4 linked regions of the Alligator mississippiensis genome follow. The protein of the gene in region 1 purifies or fractionates together with the protein of each later gene. This does not show direct contact. Links are inferred from orthologs where the notes say so. Each region holds a gene or a part of one and is shown on either strand. Other genes may lie near its edges. The genes, in order: EZH1, JARID2, PHF19 and PHF1.

Region 1 (7,642 bases):
GAAAGAGAATGTGGAAATGCCTGGAGGCTGAAGGCACTGACAGAAGTGACACTTTGTCATGCGCTCTGCCATTGAAAGTGCCCTACAGCCATCCACTCAACTCCAGGGCAGGCTGGGCAAACCCCAGAATGGACCTCCCTCCCATCCTGAGATGGGCCCCAGAGCTGGGGGCGGGCAGGAGGGGAGGGGAGGCAGGGCTAGGGGAAGAGGCGGCAGAGGCCTCTTTTGCTGGATGGGCTTTGAAGTGGAGCTCAATCCCCCACCCTCCCAGCCCAACAGTGAACACCTGTTGGGTCAGGAAGGTCAGTCTAACTCATGGTACTTTCTGTAAAGTGCCATGAGTTAGACTGGGGAGCTGCACATCTGTCAGTGCCCAGAAAGTGCTGTTGAGCAACACCGCAGCAGTTCTGAAGTCAGCTGATGTTCACATCAGTCTGTCAGAGGGATGATAAATTACTGTACAGTTCTGGCCGAACAATCGTAAAACTGGAACAAAACTTGGACCAAGCTAAGATTCTACAAGCCTTGTGGAGACACCAGGATGTGGTGACAGAGAGGCTTTCAAGGCATGCGATGGATGGCATGGTAATTGCGGTATCTCCGAGTTACCAGTTTTTACAAGAGACAATGTGGTTGTCTGCTGTCCCAGGGGGACACAAGCAGAGGCCCCGGGGCACCCTCCCATGGTGGGACCTGAGGCAGGGCTGACTCGCTCAAAGAAGAAAGAGAAAAGTCCTGAAAGCAGGGCATGCTTACTGTTTTTAGGAAAAGCAGAGCCAGCCAAGCCACACCGAGACGAACTGCCTGTGCAGTTCGTCAGCTGCTTTTATTGCTGGCTGGGAGCAGCGATGGCAGATGACATTATCAGAAATCACCGCCCGGCTGATTTAAAAGCCAGGAGGCAAGGAAATGGAGGGGAGATCAGCAATACCATAGCCAGAAGGCAAGGCTGCTCCCCAGGCTGCACACAGGCTGTGTTGGCAGCTCGGCGGAGATCCGGACGGAGACCCGATGGAAGTGTCCAGGATCCATTAAAAGAAGCATCATGCCAGCTCAGCAGGACAGCCGGGCCAAGGAGGATGGTGTTGAGGGACCCTGGAGCCGCAGATGCTGGATCTATGAGTGGGGCAGGCTGAGGCCCCATGCCCTATTTTTTTCTTTCTTAATTTATTTTGAGTTTCACAGAGCCCCAAACCAGTGAGAGGGGCCACGAGTGGCCTTTTGGGTCAAGGGGAGCCAAGTCAGTGCAGCAGACTGCTACGCTTTGAAGGAAGACCCGACACATTGACAAGGGTGGTCTTACGTCCCGTGGTCTTCCTGTGTGGAGGGACGCTGGAGACAGGCAGGGAGAAGAGAGGGTAGGTGATGACATCAGAAGACAGGCCGGCGCATCGCTGGGGTGTAGGGGAGGTAGAGCCCCAAAAATGCCCACTATGGACAGTGCCCGGTCTGCGAGGAGCTGCGAGGAGCCCCACCATTAAAGAGGAAGATCAAGTTGTGGCAGGCGAGTATCAGGGCCTTCTTTGGGGTGAACACAACCCAATGCCTAAGCCTCAAGAACAAACCCTGCGGCTGGCACCGGGTGCGTGCTCCAAGGCAAATAGAGAACGCCTACATGAGGCCAGGTGGGTGCATCTGCAACAGCAGAATACTGGACTCTGTGGCCCAAGAGGCCCTCTGCAGTCCATTGTGCTTCATGTCTGGGTAGGACTTAGCCTGGGGCTGGCCCTCGTTGCTTTTTTTTTTTTAATTATTATTATTTTGTGTCTCAGGCCAAATTAATCAAATCATTTCCAAATTCTAATCAACTGAGCTGAGCTTAATCATTGAAATCTGTGTGGCACTACTGCCAGCAAGTATCCTACCTCCCAGACGCTGCACCCTGGGGCTTCAGTTACTCCCAAATCCATGGCAAGCATCCTATGTACAAGAGCCCAAGCCCAGAGGTCTTGGAGTTCAGATGCTCCCTAGTCTTGCTTGTCTCTAGCCAAAGGCCATAGGAGCAAGTTAGAGAGAGAGCCCAAGCACAGCCAAACACAGACCTCAGGGCACTGGAAATACAAACAGGACAAAGATCAGATAGGCCTTTGTCTTCCTTCCCCTGCGTGCTTTTGCTGTAAGTGAAAGGGTGAGGCTGTGGCAGGAGGATATGATGTGCAATTCCTTTGTCTACCATAGTTATTTGTTTATTGTTCATGCAGGAGATGCACCTGATAGCTCATTTCCAGGTGGGTGAGCAACATACAGTATACTGTGGAAATTTAGAAACAAAGCTACTCTGGAAAAAATCCCTGACACAGCAGCTCAGCCAAGTTTTCTGCCCCTCCCAACAGAGCCAAAGGAAACAGATGGCCCTTTGACCATGCCCCAAAGATCAACAAACTTGAGCTCTATCAGACCCAAGGGGAAGTGCTCTCTGGAGCCAAACTCTGCTACCACAAAGTATATTCTGCAGCCAGTCCCCAAGTGTGTGATTCTAGGGATAGTTAGCTAGATACTAGCTAATCTAGGTCCTGGTGAGAGGAATCTCTCAGGTAGCTAGAATGCAAGGAAGCATCCAGGATTGTACCCAGATGGCAGCAGGAAGCTAGGGAGGAGTTGGTGTAATGTACCCTCCGGGTTATGACAGCTAAATGGGAGAATAGTACAAGTTATATATATGAGCCCTGTGTCCTTGAATATACAGCCTGAGAGCACAGGACAGCATAAATTATGTTGTTACTGAAGGAAATCCAGGTGTTCAGTATTACCATGACACTCTGAGGCCAAGTGTCTCCAACAGAACAGGCAACCTGGAAAAGCTTCAGTTCTCCATTATCTCGGCAGGAACCCGCTCTACAGGAATTAAAAACAAGGGAAATCACCCTGTCATTCTTTTACCACTGAATCCTCCAAAAAGCTATTTCATAGCTCCTTGGAAACTGCTCTTCGGATTGCTAAAAAAACAAAAATCCCCCATACCAGAGCTTCTCAAATCTAAAATGTATGCTATCACCCTGTAAAATCTGTCCTCTGGACACTGTCACACCCTGTGATGTCTCCCCTTGTTCTCCCCTAAAAAGGCTACCTATAAAAGCATATTAAAGCCCCGAGTTCTGGTACTTCTGTATGTCCTTGTAGCCAGGGGGGGAATTCTGGAGCCAGCTTCAAGAGCACCCTTTGGGCAGACTCTGACTGGCTGCATTTTTGAGACTGTAAAAGCAAATGATGCCAGACCACTGCTGAGCATGTGCAAGAGACCACCATTAGAAGCTTTTACGTGCCCAGTCTGAGTGCATTTTCCCATGCAGCAAGAGGCACCGCCCTGATCCCAGCATATTCTCCCTGCCAGATATCAAGCCACTGCAGCTTTCAACAAAAAAGATTTAAGTACAGGTTTCTCTCGCTTTATATTGTACAGTACATGCGTTCCTGGAAAAGCACGCATAACTCCAATTCGCATAAAACGAACCCACTTTACAATGTAACAAATGGGGATATGTTCCAAGACCGTACTGACCCCCAGACCCATTTCGACCACTTTTACAAGACAGTTTTGGTACTCACCAAAAGCAGCAGTGCACACAAGCACAGGGCAGTGGTGAATGATACCATAATGGGGACGGCAACTACAGAAACAAGTGTCGCAGACAATGAGCGAGGACCCCGGATCCACACAGGAGACTATATTTTGGTGCGTGTCACTCCCGCAACGCACTGCAAAAAAGCAGCTGACAGCAGGCTTTCACCACACCGATTGCATGAGTGAATTTACCTCGCATATAATGAATTTTTGGTATTAAAAAGGTCATTGCATAGGAGTGGATTTGCACGTGCAGAAACCACATAAGGAAAGGGAAACCTGTATTTTTTTTAACACAGACAACATAAGATCTCTCCTCCTTATCTCATCCTCTCCACCATTTTCTGCTGAAATTTTCTGAAGAAACCGCCTGAGACAAACACCGGGCATGGGAAAATTAGCTGCAATTAAAATTTGGCGTGGGCAGAAGCAACCCACCCCCGAGCCGCCTGACGGGAAGCACTAGGCGATCTGGGCATTCCCACAAATCTGGGCGTAGAGCAGGGCTGCCGGCCACCCAGCGACGAGCCAAGATCTCCTGGGCTGACACAAGAGGAGGCAGCCGCGGGCACGGACCCGGCTCCAAACGTCTCACCTCGTCACGAGGGGCAGATCTATAACACGCCGGATTTCTGTGCCGGAGAAAGGCGCACCAAGTGCTCAAACAAGGCTCCCTGCACCCCCCGGGGGATAGGGGAGGGGTGGGGCGGGGCGGAGCGGGGTCGGGCCGGGACTCCCCAGGGCTCTTCCTGCAGACCACGTATTTGCCTCGCCCGGCTCTTATTTGCCTCACACGTCCGCGCTCGCGAGCGTCGGGCACACGTGACCCTTCCCCCCTTGACGCTCCGCGGCTCCCTCCTCCTGCAGTGGTACAGTCCCGCCTCCCTCAGAGTGGCGCAACCTATCCTGCCGCCGCCTGTCCTGGCCGCGTGCCTCCCACAATGACACAGTCCTAGCTCAGCGTTCTGCCCCTGCCCCGCGAATGCGTAGCGGGGTGGGCGGGGCTTCATGAGTGGATGCGGCGCTTGGGGGGCGGGGCCTCGCTGGAGGGGGCGGGGCCGCGCGGGGGAGGCGAGCTAGCTGGTTGGCGCAGGCGCGTAGGTGGCGTCGGTGTCTGCGGCCTCTCCGGAGCGTGATGGCTGAGGAGTGAGTGTCGGGCCGGGGCGGGGCGGGGCGGGGCGGGGGTCTCTAGCGGCGGGCTGCTGCGGGGGGGGGGAGGGATGAGGGGCGAGGGCTGGGCTGGGCCGGGCCGGGCCGGGCCGGCCAGGCCAGCCCAGGCCAGGGGTCGCGGGGCGGGGTCCATGGGCTGCCCGCGTGCCCGCAGCAAGCAGGCCACGTGGGCCGGGCGGGCGGGCTGCTGGTTTCGCCCCCACGACGGCCCGCGCGGGAGCGGGAGTGGGGCTGCAGCAATGATAGGTCCCCTCAGCACTGCACAGGGCTGCCTGGGGCGCTCCACGGGTCGCCATGGGCCTGGCGCAGGCGCAGCAGGCTTACCTGGGGCTCCCACCTCAGGAGAGCTGCGACGGAGCCATCCTTGTCGTCTTTTCACGGGCTCTGCCTGTAGTAGGTGAAGTTCAGAGGCTGGGGAAATCAGCCTTTGAAACTGTGCCCTAAGGGCAGTGGGTGAGGCACACCCCAGACATGGGAGCATAGGTCTGAAACCTTGCATGGTACAGAGGGGCGCAGGTCGGAGCTGTCCATCTTGTCGCTGTTGCATCGGGTCTGCCTGGCCGGCCTGGAACGTCTGCCAGGGAGAGATGCAGGGATCTGGATGAATGGGCAGTAATGCGTGCAGAAGAGCTAAGCAGTGGCATGAACGGAGTATAATACGTTTGAAAGGGTAATAGGACTCCTAGGGAAAACCAGGTTTCCCTGGACAGTGTTGCTGACATCAGGCCCCTGCTTGCTGATGCTGTATCTGTGGCAGGGGGGAGTCGCGTTTCTGCTTCCGTAGGGGTAGGGCAACAATTTGTTCACGGTAGTAGGCAGCTGTAGCAGCTGGGTGTGTTACGGGTTGTATGTTGTCTTGGGGAGGATATGACATCACTTTATTCAGAGGAAATGTGCAGAGCTGGCACTAGGCATGAAGAGGACATGGGCTAGTGTTTTGCTTTTTACTACCTCAGAGAGTGTTTGACATCTTGAGTAAATAACCGGGGAAGGATTAAAACAGAAGCTTCTCGACTGCCCAGCACCACAAGGGTAAAACGTTGGGGTAAGATCCTAGTTAGTGGAGGGGAGAGCAGCTTATCCTTTCCGCCCTTACAAGTCTGCATGTAATGAGGCCAGGTGCTGTGGGTAAAACAAACAGAGCTGCTCAGGATAGTTGGTCAAAAAGGAGTTCACCCCAGTTCTCACTGGACAGTCGAGGAGCACAATCTGTGGAGTCCTTGCATAGTATGCTTGGCCCTGAGCAATTAGTTGTCTCAGTTCTAAGGGCTCTTAGATCAGCCCTTCTGGGTCCCTTTTAAATACACTTTGCACTGTAATTATTTCTTAAATAAGTAGTACCAATATAGCCTACTTGAGGAATTACTCTTTTCCTGAGTAAGGTCAACAATACATTTAAAATCCCAACATACAATATTTTTTAATGACTACTGCTCACATCATGATATCCAAGTATTAATCTTTCCTTGTTTGTTTTACAGGAAAATGGATATTGCAGCTCCTCCAACCTCAAAGTGTATTATATATTGGAAAAGGAAAGTCAAATCTGAATATATGCGTCTTCGGCAGCTCAAGAGGTTTCAAGCAAACATGGGAGCCAAGGTAAACATATTACAGTAGCAGTAGGTCTTTTCTGTTTAAACTACAGCCTTGATCCCAGGTACTACTAGTCAGTACGGTTGCAGTCACGTGTCTTTCTCCCATGTTACTACCTGCTATGTAAAATCTTAGCTGTTACTTTGCAGAGATGTGTGTTTTCATCATTGGTTATGTCATTTGACCAGAAAATTGTTTTTTGTATCTGATGTCTTGGGTGAGCATTAGGTGCTTCAGATTCCTTGAACTCAGAGCATGCCTCATATGCACGAAGCAACTCTGCTATCTCCTGAGTTTTGACTCCATGTCTTAAAGACTGGCTGTCTTCAGCTGCCTTTTACTCAGTCTTCTCTAATTCACTGCTAGGAGTCTGGTAAAGTCAACAGTGACTGGAAGGTATCACCAGCTATTGGTTGTTCAGTTGATTGAGTTGAAGAACAGCATTATGCACATGCATCCAGTGAATTCAATTAGAAATATTTTTAAAGGAGATCTATCAACTTGAAATGTTAGTAACTGTTTAATTAAGGAGGTAAGTACTTTCAGGCCTTTTACCTGCTAAGTTTTGTGGTCCTGTGGCAGATTTTAACTGTCTATTTTTATTTTGTTTATTGTGGCAGGCTCACACAAACAATGGAAACAGTGAAATCAAGTTACCCAAATGCCAAATATAGGCTACTTGTTTTTAGTTGTTTAGTGACAATAGCCAGGTCAGTAACAAGAGCACTGGCCTAAGGGTTGCTGCAGATTCAATTCCCTCCTCTGCCCTAGACTTCATGTGTGACTTGAGCAAGTCACTCTATCTCTGAGCTTCCATTTACCATTTGTCAAATGGAATTACAGTCCTTTGGAAATGACACCTGCACTGAGTCTACAGCCTGATGTGCAGAACACATTCCAGTGGGCATTTCATTACTCTGAATCTTCACTTGCCTTTTGATTTCAAGGGCTTGTCTCTTTCTTGTTTCAGGCTCTGTTTGTGACCAATTTTGCAAAGGTTCAAGAAAAAACACAACTTCTGAATGAAGAATGGAAGAGGCTTCGAGTGCAGCCAGTGCAGTTAATGAAGCCAGTCAGTGGGCACCCTTTCCTGAAACAGGTACAATGGCTGCTCTGCTGTTTCTGCCTCCTTCCAAAAACACTGATGACAGCCTAGGTTTTGCTGGGAACTCTGAAGGCAGCTGCAGCTTTCTTTGTGCTTTTATGTTTCAATATGTTACTGTGCCAAATATTCCCCCCATGCTGCAGAACTAGGGGGAAAAAGAAAATGTACTTAAGCTAATGTTTAAGGAGGAAATGAAGTGTGTGTAAAAC
Region 2 (7,586 bases), on another chromosome or scaffold:
CCCCGCTCCCCGGCACACGCGGCCCGCCTCACGTTTGACGTCACGCGGGGGGGGTGTGGAACTAGAACCTTGAGACGACGAAGATTCCACAGAGCCCAGGCCCTTCCCTTTGTGACGTCACAAGCACAACAAGCCCCTGGCCCCGGCTGGGCTGAATGGCCGGGAACCCAGGGGCTCGCGCTGACACGCCGCTTAACCTGTTGCTGCAGAGGACGCCGGGGAAGCGCGCCGGGCCGGCCCACGCCGCTGCCTGCACCAGCACCAGCCGCCACCGCCGCCGCAGCAGCCATGGTTGCGTCGATTCATGCTACTCGCTGCATCAGTGCACCAACCCCCCCTCCCCTCCCCTCCGAGAAACCTGGCAGGAGCCTCCCCCCCTCCCCAACACAGAGCCCTTCCCCTCCAGCCACTCCACGAAGTTCAACTCGGGAACACAAGGAGACATTGTCTCCCCACTCCTGCTTGCAGGGGCATCTCGTACCTGCGGAGCTGACAGTAGTTTTACTAAATCTCTAAGGGGCAGCGGCCAGACTGAGGCTGCATTGTTCACCAGCCCGGAGCTGGGGGGGCTTTTAAATAATAATAATAATAATAATAATAATAATAATGATGATAATAAAAAATCCTAGGGGAGGGGGGTATGTTCATTTGTCATGACCAGCGCCGATCGTACCCCCCCCTCCCGCACCCCCTTCTGCTTTGTCTCCCAGAAACGTGCCCGTCTGGTGGGGGAAAGTCTTAAGGCAACACGCGCCGTTCCCGTCTGGATTGCAAGACTTTAAACTAGTCGGCTTCAGCCTCCCAATTCCTCTGCAATGCGGATGTATTTTAATTCAGAAATTCGGGGGGAAAAGCAGCTTGGAGGGGGGAAGGGGGGGGCTGTCCATTTCACCTCGCTCTCCTCTGCCTTCAGCTTTGCAAGAGTCAACCCCCGAGAGAAGCAGGCGGCGGAAGCCAGCGGCAGGTTTTAGGAAATCTATTTCTAGAAGGGAGAGAAAGTGTCCCGAAGGTCACCCCCCCTCCTTTTAGAAACATCCCCCGGGGGGCGAAGTCACCACCAACCAAAATATCTTTATTAAAAAAAAAAAGTTGTAGTTTAAAGTGTTATATTCACTATACCCCAAAGCAAGTCTCCCCCCTCCCCCAAACAAAATGAAACCTTTCATTTTAAACATACAGCTGGAAAAAAAAAAAAAGAGAGAAATCATTCTGCGATCGCCTGCCTATTTGGATACCCCCCCCCCCTCAGTTTTCTCCCCAAAACTCCCCCATGCCAATCAAAACGGAGCTGGAGCACGCACAAAAAATCCAACTACCTCTGCACATTTATACGTTTAAAGGATTAGACAATTACAAGGGATTGGTTAAGCGGTTGAATTAAAAACAAAAAGAAGCAGGAAGAGAGACACACACAATGCTGTGCAGCCTGGACTGGACCGTATTCTTCTAAAATTTCAAGGCATCGCCATCATTTTTCTTTTTTAAAGCTATTTCCCCATTATTCAAGTCAATCCCAACGCACGCATTCCCTGTAACACGATCCCCGGCCGGCTCGGGTTCTGCTGCCGGCCGGAGGAGCGAGGGATCACATCCGTGAGATGTGATGTGGTCGTGCAAGAAACGAGCTCGCCATAACCAGACACTGGATCCTAACTTAAAGGGCTTCCCACAACCCCGGCAGGAATAGCCCCTTACTCCTCCATGCAAAAGGCTTTTTTTTTTTCTCTCTCTCTCTCTTTTTTGCCTGCAAAGTGCAATCTGCAGAAAGCTGCTGGAAAACGCAGTTTGTAGTTACACGACGGCAGCAGCATCCCCCCCCCACCCCCCTCTCCCTCCCTCCCTCCCTCCCCCCCCCCCTCCCTGCCTTTCACCTAAAACTAGATTATGATTGTGTCATTTGAGGTCAATACATTTATTCACTCGAGATATCGCTCTACCCATCTGCACCGGGCAGGACAAGGCTTTGCAATTAAAAATAAAGAGAGGCCCTGAAACTGCCCAGCACCTTGGGGGATAAATAAATATATTAAATACATACACAAACAAATAAATCAATCCATCAGCATTAGCAGACATCTGTTTCAAAGCCTGGTGGCTGCAAGGATGAGCCCGAAACTTGACATTCACTGCCATTTCCGAAACCTGGGACTCAAACGAGAGATTGTTACGGCCACTTACGTATTTCTTTTGAATGATATTCCTCTTGGGTCTTTCTTTGCTCATTCTGGTATCCAAATGCTGATGGCAAAAGGGGACGATTGCTTCATGAATTAAAGCCGCGACAAGGTGTTAAAAATAAAAAATAATAATAATAATATAATAACAATAATAATTAAAAAAAAACCACCGACAAAAAAAAATCCTGGGTGGGTGCTGTTGGCTGGTAGTGGTCTCTTGTAATCCGACTTTCTTCGCCTCACAATGCGATTCTCCTAGCAATAAATCCGAGAGGTGGCGGTGGGGAAAGGAAGGGGGAAAATAATAATAATAATAATTATAATAATAATAATAATAATAATAATAAAAGAGAGAGGCGAATGCAAAGCAAAGCACCCCCAAAATAATCACTTGAGTGAAACATTCATCATGGAGAGAGGCTCCCCCTGAAGAGACGCGCGGGGGGAGGGAGAAAAGAGCACCCCGACGCCCTTGAGATCCCCCTTTTGGGGAAGGGGGTTTCCTCTCTCTCCTCTGCCAAAGCCGCCTCGGCAGCGATCTGCGGGTCCGTAGTGTCTGAGCTGTAGTTACATCTTGGGCCAGGGAAGGGACGGCCGGGAGGAAATAAATAAAGGAGGCTGGAAGTCAACACTCGCGCTGCTGCTGCGGCTGCAGCAGGGGAAGAAGCAGCGCAGACAACTCCGGCGGCGGCGGCTGCTGCTGCACGCACCGATTGTGTGTGTGTGTTGTGTGTGCGTCCGTGCCCGCCCGTGTGCGTGTGTGTGTGTGTGCGCGCGCCCGCCGCTCCCCCCGCGCCAATGCGAACCGAGCCGCCCTCCAGCAGCAACTTTAAATGGACCTGATCTTTTTTTACAAGCCCCCTTTAGGGCTCACCGCGCAACTCCTGCCCTCCCCGCCAGCCGCAAAGGCTAGCGACGCCGCTCCCCCACTCCCTTCTCAGCGGGGGAATTTAGCCACGGTGCCTAAGCGCGCCGCACGCTCGTCCACCCCCCGTCGCCCCCTTCACCGCAGCTCCTCTGCTAGAGCCCTTTAGGCCCAACCCCTCCCCCCCGCTCCGCGCCACACAAGCCCCGCGGCGCCTGGCCTGGCTTGGCAGGCCGGAGAATTGCCCTCGGCCTGTGGGGAAACTTGTAGTTTCCCCCTCGCCACAAAATGGCTACAGCAGAGGGGGGAACTACAACTCCCATCATGCCCCCCGCTCGGCCTTCCTCTCGCCTTCCCCCTCCCCTCCGCTTCTCACCGAACGCTAGGGCGCTGTCCCGCCCCCTCCGGGCGCCACGCGGCTCTCGGATTGGCTGCCGCTGGGGGTTGTCCGCGTGGGATCTCCCCTGCTTCCCCCCTCGCTCCCGCCCTCGGTCCCAGGGCTTGTTGGTGTGGGGGGGAGCTGTGGGACGCTGGACGGGGGGCTCGCGCGGGGGAGGGGCACGCAGTGCATCGGGGGTTTTATGGGGGGTACCACTGCCCTGGGGGAGGTATGCATCGCATCGGGGGTTGTATGGGGGTACCAGTGCGCTGGGGGGGAGGTATGGAATGCATTGGGGGTTGTATAGGAGCACCAGTGCACTGCGGGGAGGCAAGCAGCGCATTGGGGGTTGTATAGTGCACTGGGGGAGGTATGCAGTGTATTGGAGGTATGCAGTGTATGGGGGGCACCAGTGCACTGGGGGGAGGTATGCAGTGAATCAGGGGGTTGTATGGAGAGGAGGCATCTGTACTGTGGGGGGCACACAGTGCATAGGTGCTGTATGGGGGGGGGCACCAGTGTATAGCAGGGGGTAGGCAGTGCAGTTTCTGGGTTAGTAGTGGAGCTAGGGCAGTAGTCTGCCAGGAGGGCAGTTGCCAGAGGTGCTTGTTATGCCTGCTTGTTAGCTGCCCGGAGCAGCTTTTGGTGGGAGGATGTTGATGCAAGGCATTTGGAGGGGAGGCTGGTAGGAGGTGCAGAGGCGGGCACCACCCACACCCTCCACTGCCAGGGGAGGCATGTGCTCCTGGGAGAGGGGGTGGAGGTAAAAATAGGACTTTATTGGGAAGCTACAAAAAGCAAGGGTGGGGGGAGTGGTAAGCAAGAAGGTGCAGAGGGAGACGCAGGATGAATGTGTCTGGCTTAAGTTAGGCAGTTGCAGTCCCGAATTTCATTTATCTAAATTATACTGTGGGCTAAAGGGCCCTCTTGCTTTGGACTAACTAGTTGTTAGGAGCCTGTTCCTTTGCTTCGCTGTCAGTGTCACCTCAGGACAGTGTGCCTGGTTTATATAAAACTTGCTCAATGCGTCTCAAAGGTATTCTAAGGTCACTCCCCTCCCCCGCCCCCCTGTAATGCCTCAAAAGCCCTGCTGCTGCACTGGATTACTCTGAAGAGCTAAAGCTTGCAGACAGCAACAGCGGGACTGGTGGGCTAACGTATCATAATCAACTCTATATATAGCTAGGGAGATTTAAAAAAAAAAAAAAAAGCCCTGCTTTTTTGCTGATGCTAAGGCATGCTGCAAAAGGGAGGATTTGCTCACCATTAGAATCTGAAATGTTTGATTGAGGTAAAATAGTTCCCAGGATTGAAGTAAACACACTCTTTAGTAAATACAGAACATTTACTGTAGCTTATTGGATGGATGTTTTAATCTTTTGAGAGAGAGGTCATTGGCCGTGTTAGTCTGCAGTTTGGCAGAAAGCAGGGTAGAATTGCATCTTAATGCCTAACTAAATAATAATGCAGTACATCTATGATTCAGTGGTTTTCAACCTTTTTTTTCATTTGCAGACCCCTAAAAAATTTCAAATGGAGGTGTGGGCGCCTTTGGAAATTTTGAATGGAGGTGCAGACCGTTTTGTATTGTAAGTGTGGGTATTCACATACTTTTGATTGATTGTAGTCATCTTTTGCAGACCCCTCAGACAGTCTGCAGACCCCCCCAGGGGTCCGTGGACCACAGGTTGAAAACCACTGAGTTAGGTTATAGGGTGCAAATCTATTTTGCTAGAATGTTTTCTATTTTCTATTTTACTAGAATGTTTTCTGTCTTTGTTTATATAAAACAGCTGATTCACAATAACAGCAAGAGTGGGCCCTGATGTCTAAAACCTAAGACACCAAATTTTTAAAGTGAATGTTAGGGAATTCTGAGTCCTTGGAGGGCCCTGGGCAGCTTTTCTAGTTTTGTACTTAAACCACTAGACAGTTTTACCTCTCTGTACAATTGTATAAAAGGATCTAACTAAATAATATCGTTGTAATAGCATGTGCATTTATAACATCTTTGATGCTCTCACCACACTGCCCAAATATTAATTTAGTGTCATATTATTGCTCTGAGGTAATATTATCCCTAACTCAGCAATTTCAGTACAAAGAGGTGATGGGTGACTTTGAGCAAAGTCGTGCAGCAAGGCTGTGGGAGATCCAGGAATAGAACCTCAATCTCCTGACTCCTAGTCTTATGCCTGAACCACAAGACCATCCTTCCTCCCCTAAAGAGATAGAGAACATGATGCTCACGTACTCTAGAAATAGGGCACACGCCACTTTTAAAATATTAAATGAAGGAAATCAAGTTACTTTTTAACATCCTAACTTCAATTTTTTTCAGATTAGCTACTACTTATACTAGAGTTTTCCAAATGTGTCTTTAAAGATTTCAAAACTTTTTAAATGAAGTTTCATTCTCAATTTTGTGCGGTATAAAGCTTGCTTACGTTTTGGAAAGTGACTACCGTTGTATTTCTTTCAGACAAGCTTAGTATAATCAGAATAATGTTTTGAAGTGTCATTTTAAACATCATATAGTATTGAAATACACCAAGGAGAGGGAGACCTGTATTTTCTCCTAACTTGGAAATCTAGGCAGTTACTGGCTGGTTGAATATAATTTATTTTTTTGTAAAAGGCAGAACCAGAACTTTGTTTGAATGTTTTTTCACAATAATTAAAGTAGATGCACAAGTTCTGATTTTTACCTTTTTAATAAAAGTGTGCATTCACAAATACAGGTGCTGCTGTCTCTTTCCTTGAAAAGCTCTGTTGATAACAGAGGAATTAGATCCTCACAGGTAATGAGCCAGTAGTAGCAACTCAACAGTTTGATTTTTCTGTCTTTTTAATGTTTGTTTAGCACAGATGCCTAGGAGATATTTGAGAGCAAATACCTTACTATTTTATATTTTTTCTTTCTGGAGAAAAAGGCTGGACATTCCTCTGCTTCAGAAAGTGAAGCCACTACCCTGCCATTCATTGACTATTGGGATTCTACAACTGGATTGTTGAGAGACAGCTAGGACCCACTGTAGAATATGCAAAACTTGGTGAGAGATTTGGTGGCTTGCCTCTTCAGTTAAGGGCTTTAAATCCATGTCTCTTCATCCTCTGAGGAGCACTCCAGGAAGACAAGGGAGTACAGCGGAAACTAGCATCCTGATACTTTCTTAAAAACTGTTGTGCTTACTTATTAAAATACTTACCTGGCTTCTTTGCAAAACAAGAGCATAGATCCACGCAGGCTCAGTATGTCATGACCTTCCAACAGCTGCTGTACATGAGTAAGAACCTACTACTGCTACTACCTCACAGAGATTCACTTCCAGCTCGGATGGCAGAGTTCTGTGCTACCACTCCTGAAGATCAATTCCTTTATCTCTGTTTATGACCTACTCTATATAAATTAACATTTCCCATTCTTGCCCTTACCCCATGTTTCAGCCCCTCAGTACTGGGCTGAATAAATACTTAAGGTAGATTGATTTGCAAAATGATTAATTAAAAACTGAAACTGTGATTATGTAGTCAATATTGTACAATTAATTGCTGCTGACATTACTGACTGGCACTGAATTTGATCTAGAGCTCCCAAAAATGCCTTAACTTGATGGTGAGCTTAGTCTTAGCTGATGTCAGATTATTTTGCATTGGAGATGTTTGAAAGTGATTAAAAGTAACAGTGGTGAGTTCCCTCATTTGTGTAAGTTTTGGATTATAACTGTTCAAAAAGATGATTATTTTCTATCTTCCAGTGAGGTAGATTTACAAAGGTACCTCTACATAGAATTGGATTTTTTTTTTAACAAGTTCTGCATATTCTACTGCAGGGGTAGGCAAAATACGGCCTGCGGGACCCTAAAAAATGTAGAAAATTAATATTTATCTGCCCTTGGTTAGACCAAGGGGCAGTAGGACACGGGAGGGAAGCCGGGCAGGCTCCCACAACAGCAGGGCCCGCCCGGCCCTGCCCCCCCAGCTGGAAGCCCCAACAGGGTCTTCTGGCCTGGGACCACATGGCTGCACCGCGTCGGAAACTCAGGTGAGGGGTTGGGGAAGGCAGGGGAGGACCTGAGCTGAGCACGGGGAGAAAGTGGCCCCTTGCCCACCACGTGGCCAGTGCCCTGCACTGCAGCTACTTGCAGCCTGCCTGTGGCTGCCT
Region 3 (7,192 bases), on another chromosome or scaffold:
GGACCAAGGACTGTCACCTCACTTGGTTTCCAAGCTTTGGGACAAGCTGAAGACAAGCCCACCCAGCAGCAAGGCGAAGGCGTCAGCTGGGGCAATGGAAGCGCACGTCTCAGTACGGCAGCCAGACCTCAGGCTGCGAGACGAGAGAACAGCGAAGGTCCTGGGGGGGCTGAGAAGGGGCTTCGGATCTGTCTCTGGGAGCAGGTGCTGGGGTTAGAAACAGCCGCCAGGGCAGAATAAGAGATCGAGGCTTCACTCACCATGCTGAATGTCCTTCCAGAGGACCCAGTACTTGGAATTATCTTCAAAGGTCACCAGGCAGCTCTGTTTGGAGCCGCTCACCTGCACAGACAAGGAGGGAGATCAGATGCCAGTTTATCCCACTCCCTTTTGAGCACCGCTTCAGTGGCTGGCTGGACTTCAGAGACACACGCGGGTGCTCTGCTCCGGCCAAAGAGGCTGCACGGACGGCCCTGCAAGCAAATGCTGCCTGCATACACCCAGCCCAGGCTCCGCAACAGCGGCAGCAGAGGCTCACCTAGGAAGGAGAGGGCATTTTTATGTCCAGCATCCATGCCCGGGAGTTCATTTCACCAAACCACCAAAGAATGAGAGTCAGTCCTGGCTGCCTCTGAACTGGGCTGGAGATGAGCCAGCAACCCAGGGGGCTGGGGTCCCAAATAGTCCAAGCCACCCGCCTACAGGCTTTGTCTTTAGCCCTCCAGAGAATGGCGGCTGGTGCTGGCTAATAAAGGGCATTCACTATTTGACGTGCCTTAGCGTTTTCCCTAACCCCAGGGGGAGGCAGGAGCAAAGGCACAAACCGCAGCAGACTCACACTCCTATACAACCAGCGTGACAGGAAGAGAATCGGGAGTTTCACTGAGCCCGAGGTCACTTCTCCCAACTGACAGCTACCTGGGCTGCCAGGAACTGCCTCTCGTGGGGTCAGCACTGACTGCAGGTGTAGCACAGACACCGGGTTTGCCCCAGCGATCCTGGCCCCTCCTCACAGGTCCTTGCTTAACAGCAATGACACTTAGCATACATAACACCTGCCCTGGAAGGCGCTCTCAGGCCCAGGGGTGCGCGAGTGGGAGCCCTTCCCCTGCTATAGGAACGCAGAGCCACTGAGGCTGGTCCCCTGCATTTGCACACCATTGCTAAGCAGATGAGCAAACCGGGGGCAAGGAGAGAGGCCGGGTCTTGCCCGATGCTCTACAGAAAGAATCAAACGTGCTGGAGACAAGAGAAACCATTTCCTTAATGTTTTGGATGGAACAAGTTTCTCGTATTGGTTTGCGCTCTTTCGGCCGTTTTGCCATTTCCTTCCCAAGACTTGATGAAAAAATAAATGGCAACTTTCCTGCCGGACAATGAACCCCAAAACCTCAGGCCCTGACCCCACCTTTCAACTGCAGTGGACTATGTTTTCATTCAAAAGAGATATCCGATCCTTTCCCAGCAAAACGGGCCCATTTTTGAGCTGAGTTATTTGCTTCTTGTTGCACCCGATTTGCACATGCAGGATAGAAACCACGTTCTCTAATGCCCTCTCTCCTGCTCAAGCTGTTTATACAAGGACTAACAAAAGAGCAGACAGGAACAACCCAAATCATGATCTTTACACCCTGGCCCACCCTCCAATCAAGGACACTGAAGTTGAAGCTTGCTCAGAGCTAAGTGTGTGTGAAAGGTCCTTTCTGAAAGAAATGCTTGTGAGACGCCTTCTCTTTGAGGGACAGCAGAGAAGGGCCCAACTTTCCAAACCTGGTCCTGAGCCCAGGTATAAGAAGAGCCCTGTGGTATGGGGGTATCTGAAGCCTGGATGTGCGCTCAGCCCATTACGGAGCTAGGCATCCGGGGCAGAGTCCAGCCCCGGTGACATTGTGAGAGCGCCAGCTCACGCACCTCTCTGGTTTAGGCACCAGCATTAAAGAACTGAGGTCGTTCTAGCAAAGCTGCGAATGCCTACTACTTTACCCTCTTGATCTTGCCCAGGTAATAGAGCCCATCGGTCCAGCGGCACAGCACATACTGCCCCTCCGTCAGTTTGACCATCAGATCTCTGCAGCCGTTCCCATTCTTCACGGACGCGTCGACCGACGCTTGCTGCAGGTGGCTGGCCGCCGCGTAGACATCTCGGATGATTGGGTTCAGTGTGCCGTTCTCCATGAGCCTTGGCAGATGCTGCCGAGAAAACAAAACGGGGTTTAGTCTGTGATCACAACCCATGGTAAGGATGTTCTCAGTTTGGCAAAATCCCGTCCCTTAAAACTTCCAAGTGCCGCTGTGCTACACCGCCTCGTGCATTCAGACAGTCAGCATAGGGACGGAAAGAGCAAACAGCTCCGGGGCATCGCACGCATGACGGGAGGCTCCATCAAAAACACATTAGAGGATTATGGAAGTAGCTCTTTATTCCCATCCATCTGAACTCCCACGTTCCTCTGCCGCTGCACAAACCCCCAAGCCCAAGAGGATAGCGTAGGAGCACGCACACCCACCAGACTCTCAATGGCAATCGGAGACAACGAGCCTAGCTCCAGTCCTCCAGAGGCGCGAAGGACCAAAAGCAAACGAACAGCGCTGAATCAATTGGGTTTTTACAACACCTTCGTGTTTCTTGATGGAAAGGTGCGATTAACAACACGCAGGTGCAAGACAGCTTCGCGGAAAGGGACCCGGGTACCTTTATTCGGATGCTATCCCATTAATTGTGACACGCACACCTTGCTCATTCCATGCCCAGAAACGGTGCAGACTATAAACTCAGCCCGTTTTATCCCTGCGTCTTTCCACGCAAGGAAAGAAACAGGCTGCATAAATACCCTACAGGTTATTACTAAGCTTTCCGCAGACTAACATTAAGGGCTAGAGACTTTCTCAACTCAAGCTAAGGGCAAGTCAGGCCCCATGTAGCCCAGCTCGGCACGCCTCCCAAAGGGCATTCGTTCTGGGGAACGGTATCAGCAAGCAGCTACATGCCACTGAAAAATGCAAGCCACCTTCCAATTTATTTCCGTATTAACCAAATCGTGCCGAGGAAATCAGCGGGACAGCCACCCCGTGACTACTGCTCCCACCAGTTGGGGGAAACGAGGAGAAGGAAACACGATGAGAAGGTCACTAGTGGGGCGAGAAACGCTGCGGCAGCAGGGGCGGGAAAAGCCGTCTTCGCTTGGAAGCTTTCTCCAAACTTCTTCCCGACTCTCTGAGCCTCTCGACTTTGCAAAACCAAGCTGGAAATTCCTCGAGAGCAGTTTCCCCTCTTCCTGCTCGTGGCATCGCTGCTCCCGGACCCGAGCAGAAAGTGCGGAGCGCAGGCAAAAAAATGAAAGAAAGAAAAAAGCGAGGCCTCCATGGAAAAATCTGCTCTGCCCTGACTCAGAGCCAGCCAGTTCCTAGGAAAAGGCTCGAGTCACAGGACTGCGCCGGTCCTCCCCCCGCCCCGCTCGACTCATCCTGCTCCTCGCCGCACCGTTAAGCCAAGCACGGCTCCGTGCAACACCCGGGGCCAAGCTTTTGGGCAGGCGTGCCACCAACGGAGCCCGGCGAGGGATGCCCGTCCCTTGCCCGGGCTGCTGCTCTGCTTCCTGCTCCCGCCCTGGGCCACTGGCGGGCACCCCGCTCCGCAGCACCGAGGACTCGCAGCATCCGGCCTCGGGCTGCGGTTACCGGGGCGGTCGCAGGCGAGTCTCCTGAAGCCGAGCGCGCTAGTGCCACGCTCCCCGCGGCCCCCGATCAGCCGCCTCCGGGGCTGGGGAGCGGCCGGCTGCCCTGGCCCATCCCGCGCGGGGCAGGGCAGGGAGCATCTCCTGCCAGGGGTGCCCCTCCAGCCTGCCAGCACCAGCCGCCCCCCTCCTCCTGCTCCCGGGGCTCTGATTGGCTGATTCAAATGCATTCAAAATAGGATCCATTTTTGGGGGGAGGGGGGAAGCGGGGTGCGGCGCGCTCCAGCCCCGCGCGCCCCGCCGCGCCGCGCCGACACACGTTCGCCCGCGCCCCGCCCGCGCCCAGCCCGCCCGCGTCCCGCGCCCCGCCGGGACGGCCCGGGACGGGACGGGCAGGGCGGGACCCCGCAACCCCGGGGCAAGTGTGCACGCGCTGCCCCGCGGGGCGAGTGTGCGGGGCTCTTACCGGCGCTGGCGGGGCCGGGCGGGCTCAGCCCCGCGGCGGGCGGAGGGTGCGGGGCGCCATCTTCTGCCCTCTTTTCTTTTCCCGCGAATTATTTACGTTTCGCTTATGCAATTAGCCCGGGCCGCCGCCTCCCCCGCCCCTCGGCCCGGCCCGGCCCGCCCCGCGCCCCAGCCCGCGCCCGCCCCCCGCACCCACACCCACACCCACACCCACACCGCGCGGGTGCGGGGGGGTGCAGGTGTGCACGCACAGGCGGCTGTGCACACTTGTGTAGACACGTGCAGGCAGGCAGCCATACACACACGTGGAGGCACACGCAGCTGTGCACACGCAGCCATGTGCAGACGTGTGCACACACTCCTGCAGATGCACGCACATGTACAGACATGCGCACACTTGTGTAGACGTGTGCACGCATGCAGCTGTGCAGACATGCACACGTGCTCACGGGCAGCCATACACACGTGTAGACATGCAGATGTGCACACAAGCATGCACACACGCGCAGACATGCACGCATGCAGCTGTGCAGACATGCACACACACGTGGTCACGGGCAGCCATACATACATGTGTAGACACATGCAGCTGTACAGACATGCACACATGCAGACATATGCACACACACACGTGCAAGCATATGGAGACATACACGCTGTGCGCACACGCATGCACGTGCACACACTGTACTTACTAAAAGACAGAAGGGTGCACACAGGTTTCCCCGCCCTAAAGCAAGGGCAGGGGAGCATTGACGTCGGTGACACAAACCTGTATGGGGACGGGGCTCGGGTGGGGGGTCCAAAAAGGATCCCCCCGTTGGAGAAGAGTCCGACTGAAGTTCGTCCCACAGGCACTGCTCAGCAAGGCGACCGGGGGCCAGCGTTAGTGAAGCCCCCCTCCCAAGCGTCTGGCATGCGATGCCCTTGCTCTCTGGACCCGAGCGTGCCCATCCTTAGCACGCATTGCAGGGACACTTCGGGGCACGTCACCGAACACTGAAAATGCCTCTCGAGCCCAGCTCCGCACATACGCTCCTCCGCAGCTGCCCCTTGCCGGGCCGTTCTGGAGGCGACGCTGACACTCGCCTCGTCGGTCCCTTGTGTGCGCAGCCCCGAGCCCCCGGATCTGGAATGGGTATAACCTCCATCCTAATATCAGTCCACAAACCCGGGGGGTCTTATAGACTCATTGTGGTCAATACCAAGAAGAGTCACAGCGTCTGAGGGTTGGACGAGACCCCAAGGATCGTCCAGTCCAGCCCCCAAAGACCACCTAGTCCACACCTTCCCTAAGCAGGCGGTTCCACTGTCCTGCTGCTCTGACAGCTGGGACAAAATAGCTGAGATTTATTAGGAACTGCTGTCAAAAGACAAATATTTTCACACCTGGTCAGAGAACAGAAAGCCGATTCCTCATTTAGGGCCTGTTCCAAAGCCTACTGAAATCAGTAGGTGACACTATTGACTTCAGATGAAAACCTTAATGAGTTGTTCTCCAATATATTGCATTCTTCAGTGCATTGCCGAAAAAAGCCTGCAGTTCCAATAAGTATTTCCCCCAGGCAATCATTAAAATGGCGCGATGGTAAAATGCCACTTCTTTGCCATTTCTTAGGACTGAGCTATAAAACATCAAACCTTTTCTCCACCATGTCTGGTGTGTTATGACCCTTTTACAGATAAGCAACTAAAAAATAATAATTAAAATTGTTTAGACCCAAGTTAAAAAGGTACTGATAATTCACTCTCTCAAAGTACATAACAGGTCACAGCCAGGCTGTCTCGCAACTATAAACCTTGCCAGCTATGTTACAGGCCACTAAACACCTCGCCAAAGAAAAATATCAAAGAAAGGGGAAAATAGAGTTCAAGGCTCTTAACGATTAATCACTTTTTAAAACTTTGTAAGACTCAACAGCACAAGGGGTCAAAAAGATGGAGCATGTTACTCACAACTTCAGCACCGCAATACAGAATTTGCAATTCAGAAACACTTTTAGGACCTCACAAATAGCCTCTTTGTAGCTCTTTTGAGAGACAAGAAACTCCTTACAACCATCATAATCAAAGGATAAATATTTCTGTCCTTAGACAGGGGTTGCTTTGTAGGATACAAAATGGACACAAAATAACCTAAAGCAATAAACTTCACTATGTAATACTAATTCCCTTCTCCTGGCCTGAACGGGCTTGGCAAGATGAGAAAAAAATATGGATCTCAGCATCAGTATATAAAATAAAAACTCTTCTTCCTTGTTTTCAAATTATTTCCCTGCTATAGCATAGGCAAGTATTAATACCATTATAGTAGAAGGAATATTATCAGTATAAAATAGGAAATGTGGGTTGAAGGGACCGCAGAGGTCACATCTAGTGCAACCCCCTGCTCCAAGCAGGACCAGCCCCAGCTACATCATCCCAGACAAGGCTTTGTCAAGCTGGGCCTTAAAACCTCCACGGATGGAGATTGCACCACCGCTCTAGGCAACCCGTCCCAGTGCTTCACCACCCTCCTAGTGAGAAAGCTTTTCCTAACATCCAACCTGAACAGCAGACAACAATGAGAGGTTATTCTCTAAACTGAATACCGCCATGTCCCGAGAACCGAGTAAAAATATGTATGCATTCAAAAAATACAGATGTCAATTCTGCAATAGTCTCTTGTCCAGATCCTTCAAGTAAGTGTCGCTGCCCAAAGAGCACTTGCTTCCATGTCATGGTCAGGAGTTTGTCTTCCTAGGGACGGGGAGGGTCTCTCTGACACGAGTGCAGCTTCCACGTTTAGCTATTAAGTGGTTCGGCTCCGGTACTCGGAGTTTGGCTGCTACACGTGAATGACGCTAGCCCCCTGCTACTTCCATTTTCCACCCATAGCTATCTGTGCCAAGGTGTGTGCTGCTTGGACTTGGTCACAGCCGATTCCCCCAAGCCCTGTCACACACACATGCAGAACGCTGATCTGCTAGTGCTTTGCACTGGTTTAAACACCTGCTCACCTGTGAAGGGGTAAGACCTTGGCTCAGTGCCCCTTTACTGCCCCAAACCTGGGC
Region 4 (7,457 bases), on another chromosome or scaffold:
AATAGTCTTTGCCACAGAGCGGTTGGCTTTGGCTGTGTGCAGGAGCTTCAGCACCTGGAGTTTGTTCCAGGAAGAAGTGAGGCCCAGAGAGACGCAGGCCATCACGCCTGACCTTCTGCCCAGCCCAGCAGCAGGTTCCCCTCCCACCCTCTTAACAATGCTTTTTCCACCCTATAAAGCGCCACAGGTGAAGAGCAGGCCTGATGAGGGCACGCTGAGACTTGCAGCCATTTTGTGGCCAGGTGCAGGCTGTGGTATTGCAACAGGCACTTTGATGCAGGGGAATGAAGTAACTTCTCCACCTCCAGCTTCTACCAGTCTCACTCAGAGGATGATTCTTCTGCCCCAGACTAGGCTGCAGGCACAGCCCCAAGCCAAGACAGGCACACCATAGTCTGCAGCCCCCCCAGGCACTTACCTCCTCCTCAGAAGCCACAGGCACGCAGCGCAGGTTGGGAACGTGGAGATCCTCACTGGCCTGACTGACGCGCCGGATCTCCAGATCAGGGGCCTGGTCTGAGCGCCCCACCAATAGGTCACGCAGGCCTTCATTGTAGATCTCGAGGAAGCTTGCTGAGAAGCTATACTGCAGGGGGGCACGGACATACACAATCAGCCAGTGCTGGGGCTGTGGGGGCAGCAGGCTGGGAGACATGGGCACGGAAACTCACCTCCCAGCCTTTGGGCTCCAGCTCCCGTGCGCCCTGGAAGACCTGGCGCACGGCTCGGGGAATCATGCCCAGGGTCTCCTGGTCCAGGTTGTCCGGTCCCTCCATGGTGTAGGTCTTCCCACTGCCCGTCTGTCCGTAGGCAAAGATGCAAACGTGATAACCATCCAGTGCTGACTGCAGAGGGGAGCAGGGGAGAGGGGTTATGAAGAGAACAGCCCCCTCCTCCCACAGCCTGGCCCAGCCCAACTCATACCTGCACTAGCTGTGCAATTTCCTCAAACACATCCGCCTGGGAGCAGGCTGGGGGGAACACGCGGTCGAAGCTGAAGTCGTACCTCGTGTTGCCTTTACAGCTGCGCCCGGTGTGGGACTGAAGATTGCAGGTAGCAGGGGAGAGCAAGAGGGATCAGCCAGGGGGCCTCATTCTTTGACCCCCCACTCCGTAGCCCAGAGAGTACCCATGGGGCAGGAAGCCTGCGCTGCTGCACCTGGGCATGACACTCTCCCCACCTCAGCCTTTGCTATCACTCTGCAGCTTGTGGCTATCCTCACCTGTTGCAGACAAGCTATTTCTGAGCATGGGCAGCAACCCACAGGGGTCCCCCAGGGAACAGGTCAGCTTTGTAGGGAATGGATTATACCTTTGCCAGCACCCCTGGGGGCTTCAACACTGCATGGAGCAGGGGCATCTCCAAACTGAGGCCAGACAGCCTGTGGCTGGTGCCCAGTGACCTAGGCCCATTGCTGTCCCCCACCCCCCTGCCTGGCTCACCTCCTCCGGCCGGGAGAGTACAAGTGCTCCGTTGTCCTGTGGGGGGAAATGCAAGTGCTCCAGCCCCTTCCCCGCCTCCTGTTCAGAGGGCAGCAGGGGCCGCACACGGCAGAACACACGGATGTTGCCCTGTGGAAGAGATGCATCAGTCTAGCCCAGGATCCCAGTGCCCTCCCACCCATCTGCCCTGGGCCCAGCCCCACCTTGAGCTCCAGCACCAGGTTGTGCAGCCGCCGCCGGTCCATCTCCAGCTGGTGCAACTGGTCTTCTCTCTGCGTTGCAGCCTGCAGCAGGGTTGTCACCTGGGCTTTCAGCTCCCTGTTCTCCTGTGTGCTCTGAGCCAGGTCCCCCTAGCAGAGAGCCCGAGTGTCACTTAACCCTGGCTCAGAACTGTCTGAAATGATGGGCATGGGAGGCCATAGCTTGAGGCATCACCATGACCTGCTGACAGGTGCTAACACATGGGCTCACTGGATACGAGTGGCCATCAGCATGGCCAAAGTGGGCTACTGGGGACAGGTGGGGGCAACCTGGGGCAGTGCTGCCTATGACAGCAGGGCACTTGTGGCTCTGGCAGAGGTGCCATGGTTGCAATAAGGGAAGCCAGGGAAGGCAGCACCATACAGAGTCACTGGCCTGGCCTGGACCAGGGGACTGTGACAAATGCCACGTTGGGAATGTGATGCTGGAGCAGAACCTGGTGCCATTACAGCCGGTGCCCACAGCCTCAGAGATGTTGCCATAGGAAACTGTGCTTGCGTGTCAAGCTGCAGATTGTACTCATCTGTCAGAGCTGCAGCACCGTCTGTCTCCACACACACAGCATGGAATAGCGTGCCAATGGAGACGGGCCGATGAGCACAACTGCCTGCCCCAGGGCAGGCCGCAGGACAGCAGAGCTCCTCATCAGAGGCTCTGGGGCCGGAAGGAGAGCCAAGCTGCTCTATGGACCCCTCAACTTCCAGACCCACCTCTCTGGCTTCCAGCAGGGCTGACAGGTCCCGCTTAGCCATCTCCAGGTCCTTGTTGGTCCCCTCGAGCTCCTTGTTGGTCCTAGTGGTGTCAGTGAGCTGCTGCTCCAGTTGGTGCTTCAGATCCGACAGTTCCTTCACTTCCTCGAGGCGCTGCTGGGCCTGCTCCTGGGACACGTGCAGCTCGGACTTCACAGCCCTAGAAGTGCAAGGGGCCAGGGTCACTCCCCGTCCGCATCAGGCTGCTCCTGCCCCCACCCCACCCCACCCCACCCTCCTCTTACTGGAGCTGGCGGTCCAGGTCCCCGTTACGGGCCAGCAGCTCCTGCCTCTGCTCCTCCAGCTCCTGGCCCCCCTTGCGCAGCTGCTGCACCTCTTCTTTGTAGATTTTGAGCTCTGCCTGCAAGTCGCTCACTTGGCCCTTCAGGTCCCAGGGTGCCCGCTTCTTCTTGCCACCCCCCAGCTCCAAGGCACGGCCTGAGGCAGAGAGAGAGATTGGGGGGGAGGGGCGCAGACTGTGGTGGGGAAGCCCAACCGGCCAGGCCAGCACAGGGGGAACTTGGTGGCACCTTATAAGTACATTGGGGCTTGGAGGAACATCTATTCACCAAGCCCTGCAGGGGAGGACAAATAATGGGCACAAACTGATCAAAGATCGTTTCAAATTAGACATAAGAAAAAGCTTCTTTACAAGCCAAGCGCCGAGGGGCTGGAACAGGCTCCCCCAGGGTGGTCTAGGCACCCGCAACGGCCATCTTCATAAAGTGCCTCGACACCCAGCTCGCCGGGGCCTCCTGCCCACGTCCGAGCTCCCTAAGCCCCCCGCCCCGCCCCGCCCCGCCCGCCGGGAAGCTGCGGGAGACGGGTTACCTGTCTTGGGAGCGGCTGTGGCTGCGGCCACGGCTAGCCTGGAGGCGGCCCCTGGGGAAGGAAAGCAAGGCAGGCTGGAGGCCCGGAGCGGGAAAGGCCCGAGCCGGGTGCTGAGGGAAGGGCTCTGCCCCCAGCCCCTCCCCCGCCCGTACCTGGGGCAGACGCGGCGTGTGCGGCGGGGCCCGGCGGCGGGGCGAGCGGGCGGCCGGCGAGGCCGGGCGGGGCCGCCGATCCGGGGCGCTGCGGGCGGGCGCTGGCGAGGCGGCGGGGCGGGCGGGCGCGGGCGGGGGGCTGCAGGCGGGCGCGTTTCTGCGGAGAGATGGAGACGTGAGCGGGGCGGCGGCCGCGGGGCCCGGGCGCCCCGGTTCCCGTTCCCGTCCCTACCTGCTCGGGGCCGGGCGCGGCCTCGGCGGCGGGCGCGCGCTTGGGCACGGGCAGGCGGGAGGCGGGCGGCGGGTCCATGGCGCTGGCGCAGGCGATGGCGGAGCCGGAGTCTGGGCGCGCGCGCCTTCCGCATTTGAAATAGGCCCCGCCTCCGCCACCGCGCGCAGCCAATCCCGCGCGCTCGCCCGCCCCGCCCCCTCCGCCGCGCCGCGGCCAATCGCAGCCCGCGGCCAATCCGCTCCCACCGCGCCCCGCCCCCCAGCCCCGCCCGGCCTGTGGCGGCCTGCGCGCTGGAGGAGGGGAGGGGGGTACGTGCCCTGCGCGCGCCCAGCGCCGCTCGCAGTTGCGCAGGGCGGGAGGGGGTGGAGCCGGGAAAGAGGAGAGGGAGGGGCGGGGCAGGTGCAGGAAGCGGGGGGCGGTGGGGGGGGGGCTGAGTGGGAGCAGTTATGGGGTGGGGGCGGGGCAGGTGGGCGGAAGTGGGAGGGGCTGGGGCAGTTCGGGGGGGGGGATCGAGGGCGAGAGACGGGATGGAGCGTTTAGGGTGGGAGGAGGCGGGGCAGTTTGCGGGGCTGGTGGGAGGGGTTGGGGCAGTTTGGGGGGTAGATGGGGAGATGGGGCAGTTTGGGGGGAAGTGGGCGGGGACGGGGTAGGTGGGAGGGGATGGGGGGGGCCTGGCAGGAGAAGTGGGTGGTGCACCAGGGGCACTGGGTGAAGGAGGGGTGACCGGGGCGGCCGGGGATGCTGCTGGGGTAGGGGCTGTGAGCAGGGGGGAGCTGGGGTGGGCGCGTGGGGCAGGGGCCTGGGGTGGGAGGAGACTGCTTGGCTCCTGCACTGGCTCCCCTGTCGGAGCATGGGGCTGCAGCCCCGGACCCGGTCCCATCCCCTTCCCCATCCCCAGGCAGTAGGAGTGGGGAAGGGGCTGCCCCCAGTGCCAGGAGGGGGCACTTGCAGACGATGCCTGGCCTGGCCTGGGGAGGGGTCCAGGGTGCCAAGGGCCTGGTCCCAGGCAGTGCCAGGAGGGGGGCGTTAGGGGGGGTCCCCTCCCCGGGCGTCTCTCCGCATCCCCCCTTGTTCCTCCCTGCTCCGGCGGCTGCGGCGGCTGCTGCTGCTGCGTCACTGGGCTCAGGCTGCTGCGATGGAGCCTCAGCGGGTCCTGCTCTTTAGCCCCTGAGGGCCCCGCGGCCTCTTGGCCCGCAGATACCCCTCCCCGGCCGGGGACTGGGGAGTGCCAGCCCCCACCCCTGCAGGAGACACCAAGACCTGGTAAGGGCGGGAGCGGCCAGGGGCAGGAAGCTCCCCTCCCCCATCCTGGAAGGAGAGGCAAGGGGCTCCCCTGCGACACCGTGCCCCCCTTCTCCGGTTGTGACCCACCCCCAGTCAGTCAGAGACCTCAGGGAGTTCCTGCACCTGAGATGCTCTCAGCCCAGACCCCTGCCTCCCAACCCTGATGGGGGTCCCTGGTCTGAAACACTCTCCCACCTCCCATGCAGGGCACCCCACGGACCCCACCTTGGAGGCCCCACCTCCAAATTTCCAACCCTGCCCCAGAGACCACCCCATGTCCCAGGGTCCTGCCCCCACAGATCCCCAGAGAGGGGCTCACATAAGGAAGACCTTCCCCCAAATAGCAGATCCAGCCTCCTAGATGTGAGACTCCCTAAACCCCACACCTGCCAGAGGGGACCTGAGCTTAAGACCCTCTCCCTCTCCCAAACCCCACGCTTGCCAGAGAGGGCATAGGCTGAGACCTCCCCGAAACCCCACACCTGCCAGAGGCCCCAGGCTGACACCTCTTGGGAGCCCCACAAATCCTCCAGGTTCTGCGAAGCTCCTGCACTTGAGAGACGTGTCCCACAGTAAGAGCTCTCCAGCACCAGGCCTGGAGGCTCAGACCTCTTGCTGCACTCCTGGCCTGTCCTCCCTCACCTAGCTGGCGGCCTTTGAGTGGGGTGGAGTGAACCACACCATGGGAAGGAGAGAGGGAGGCAACTGGATTTGGGGGAGGGGGACTCAGACTCCTAGGTTCGGCAGCTGGGACTGACCCTCGCTGCATGCAGCAGGTTGGTCACAATGTGATGGCGAGCGAGCTGCCCACCCAGTCTTCCCGGGTGACGCGCACGACCTCACGCCTGGCCTCCGGCCCCTGGAAGCGCCCAGCAGGTGCCCCGACAGCCCCGGTCCCCGCTCCCAGCCGGCCCCGCTTCTGGGAGGGGCAGGATGTGCTGGCTCGCTGGACCGATGGCTTGCTCTACCTGGGCACCATCAAGAAGGTGAGTGCAGGGCCTGGGCCCCCACCTCCGCCAGACCCCACAGCCACCCCCCCTCACACCGCTCTCCCTATACAGGTGGACAGCTCGCGGCAGGTTTGTCTGGTGCAGTTTGAGGACAACTCCCAGTTTCTTGTTCTCTGGAAGGACATCAACCCGGGTAAGCAGCTGGCTCCCAAGACCCCAGCCGGGGGCCTGGCTTAGCAGCATCCCATGTGGTGCCTGGGCTTCATCACAGGTTTCTACTCCCTCCCCCCACCCCAACCCTTGCCCACTGGGTCCCCCAGGCAGTCATGGGGCTGGTTCTGTCATCTCTTGCAGCGGCAGTGCCTGGTGAGGAGCAGACCTGCTGTGTGTGCTACACGGAGGCTGTGAGCGCAGAGAACCAGCTGGTGCGGTGTGAGAAATGTGGGCATGGTAAGTGTGGCTCCTGGCCCCTGCCCCATGGCTCCCTTACCCTGCCACCCATCTCATCTATGCTTTGCCCCCACAGCTTACCACCAGGAGTGCCACCTGCCCACAGTGCTGGAGGTTGGTGGCAATGGGGCAGGAGTGCCTGGCACCTGGACGTGCAGGCAGTGCGTCTTCGCTGTGGCCACCAAGGTGAGCTGGACCCCCACCCCTTTCCTGACCCCTGTGCCCCTTGCACCCACTCCTGGCCTGATACTCTCCCTCTCTCCTGAGCAGAGGGGCGGTGCCCTCAAGAAAGGCCCCTATGCCAAGGCCATGCTGAGCATGAAGATGGTGCTGCCATATGAGCTGAAGGCTCTGGAGTGGGACCCAGTGCATCTGACTAATCGGCAGCAGTGCTACTGTTACTGCGGTGGACCGGGAGAGTGCGTGTCCTTCCCCTTCCTCCCTGGGGTCTCCCAGATCTAGAAGGGCCTGGAGCTGGCTCTGGGGTGGTGGGGGGTTTCCCAGAGGCTTTAGGTCAGGGTCCATCCTGGTGTAGGCACCAGTCTAGACTAGCTCAGTTGGAGTCCAGGGCAGGGCTCAAAACTCTGGAGCAGGCATTAGAGCGGGGAGTTCTTACCTTGAGTGGCAGCCTGGGTGCAGGCCCCTCAAGGGGCACCCCTGGAGCTGGAGCCAACACGTTCTGGACGGGGGACACTAGGTGTTGGGGCTGAAGATTTTAGGCTGGGACCATCCCAGGGGATGAGCTGGGGAGGTTCCAGATTGGGCTCAGCCTGTGGCATGGGGCTCAGAAGCAGGCAATGAAGCTGGAGAATTTGGAATCAAGGCTACTTTGGGGTTGGAGCAGGATTCGCATTGTGGGGAGCCCTGGGGCCTTCCCTTGCATGGGTGCTGGGGACTAGCGAGGTGGGGGGGGAAAGCTAGTGGTCCTGGCAGCAATTGTGCACACCTGTCAGATGAGGCAGGGCTGGGCTGTGCACTCAGCCTGCTGCCCTCCTGCTTCCTCCCACAGGTGGAACCTGAAGATGCTGCAGTGCTGCCGCTGCGCCCAGTGGTTCCATGAGGCCTGCACCCAGTGCCTGAGCAAGCCGCTGCTCTATGGTGACAG

The links.
Region 2: the proteins of EZH1 (region 1) and JARID2 purify together in Homo sapiens (affinity purification with mass spectrometry; 4 studies listed by BioGRID and IntAct, with this or other methods). This does not show direct contact. The link is inferred for Alligator mississippiensis from reciprocal best matches to the Homo sapiens genes EZH1 and JARID2.
Region 3: the proteins of EZH1 (region 1) and PHF19 purify together in Homo sapiens (affinity purification with mass spectrometry; 4 studies listed by BioGRID and IntAct, counting the BioPlex papers as one, with this or other methods). This does not show direct contact. The link is inferred for Alligator mississippiensis from reciprocal best matches to the Homo sapiens genes EZH1 and PHF19.
Region 4: the proteins of EZH1 (region 1) and PHF1 purify together in Homo sapiens (affinity purification with mass spectrometry; 5 studies listed by BioGRID and IntAct, with this or other methods). This does not show direct contact. The link is inferred for Alligator mississippiensis from reciprocal best matches to the Homo sapiens genes EZH1 and PHF1.

What each region holds. Positions count from the first base shown.
Region 1 is NC_081827.1:152,151,331-152,158,972, reverse strand, and holds the start of EZH1 (histone-lysine N-methyltransferase EZH1), read left to right. Parts: upstream 1-4,633; 5' UTR 4,634-4,697; coding exon 4,698-4,708; intron 4,709-6,213; coding exon 6,214-6,334; intron 6,335-7,298; coding exon 7,299-7,427; intron 7,428-7,642.
Region 2 is NC_081826.1:128,795,319-128,802,904, reverse strand, and holds the start of JARID2 (protein Jumonji), read right to left. Parts: upstream 3,007-7,586; 5' UTR 2,224-3,006; coding exon 2,179-2,223; intron 1-2,178.
Region 3 is NC_081835.1:64,140,179-64,147,370, forward strand, and holds the start of PHF19 (PHD finger protein 19), read right to left. Parts: upstream 3,003-7,192; 5' UTR 2,236-3,002; coding exon 1,984-2,235; intron 343-1,983; coding exon 261-342; intron 1-260.
Region 4 is NC_081834.1:64,870,894-64,878,350, forward strand, and holds the start of PHF1 (PHD finger protein 1), read left to right. Parts: upstream 1-4,448; 5' UTR 4,449-4,931; intron 4,932-4,938; exon of another isoform or gene 4,939-5,524; intron 5,525-5,725; exon of another isoform or gene 5,726-5,728; 5' UTR 5,729-5,743; coding exon 5,744-5,938; intron 5,939-6,013; coding exon 6,014-6,095; intron 6,096-6,256; coding exon 6,257-6,352; intron 6,353-6,428; coding exon 6,429-6,538; intron 6,539-6,622; coding exon 6,623-6,771; intron 6,772-7,361; coding exon 7,362-7,457. Other genes in the region: kinesin-like protein KIFC1, read right to left, coding at 1-54, 419-586, 672-845, 925-1,041, 1,444-1,572, 1,647-1,793, 2,415-2,613, 2,699-2,891 and 3 more. UniProt on the Homo sapiens protein: Polycomb group (PcG) that specifically binds histone H3 trimethylated at 'Lys-36' (H3K36me3) and recruits the PRC2 complex. Involved in DNA damage response and is recruited at double-strand breaks (DSBs).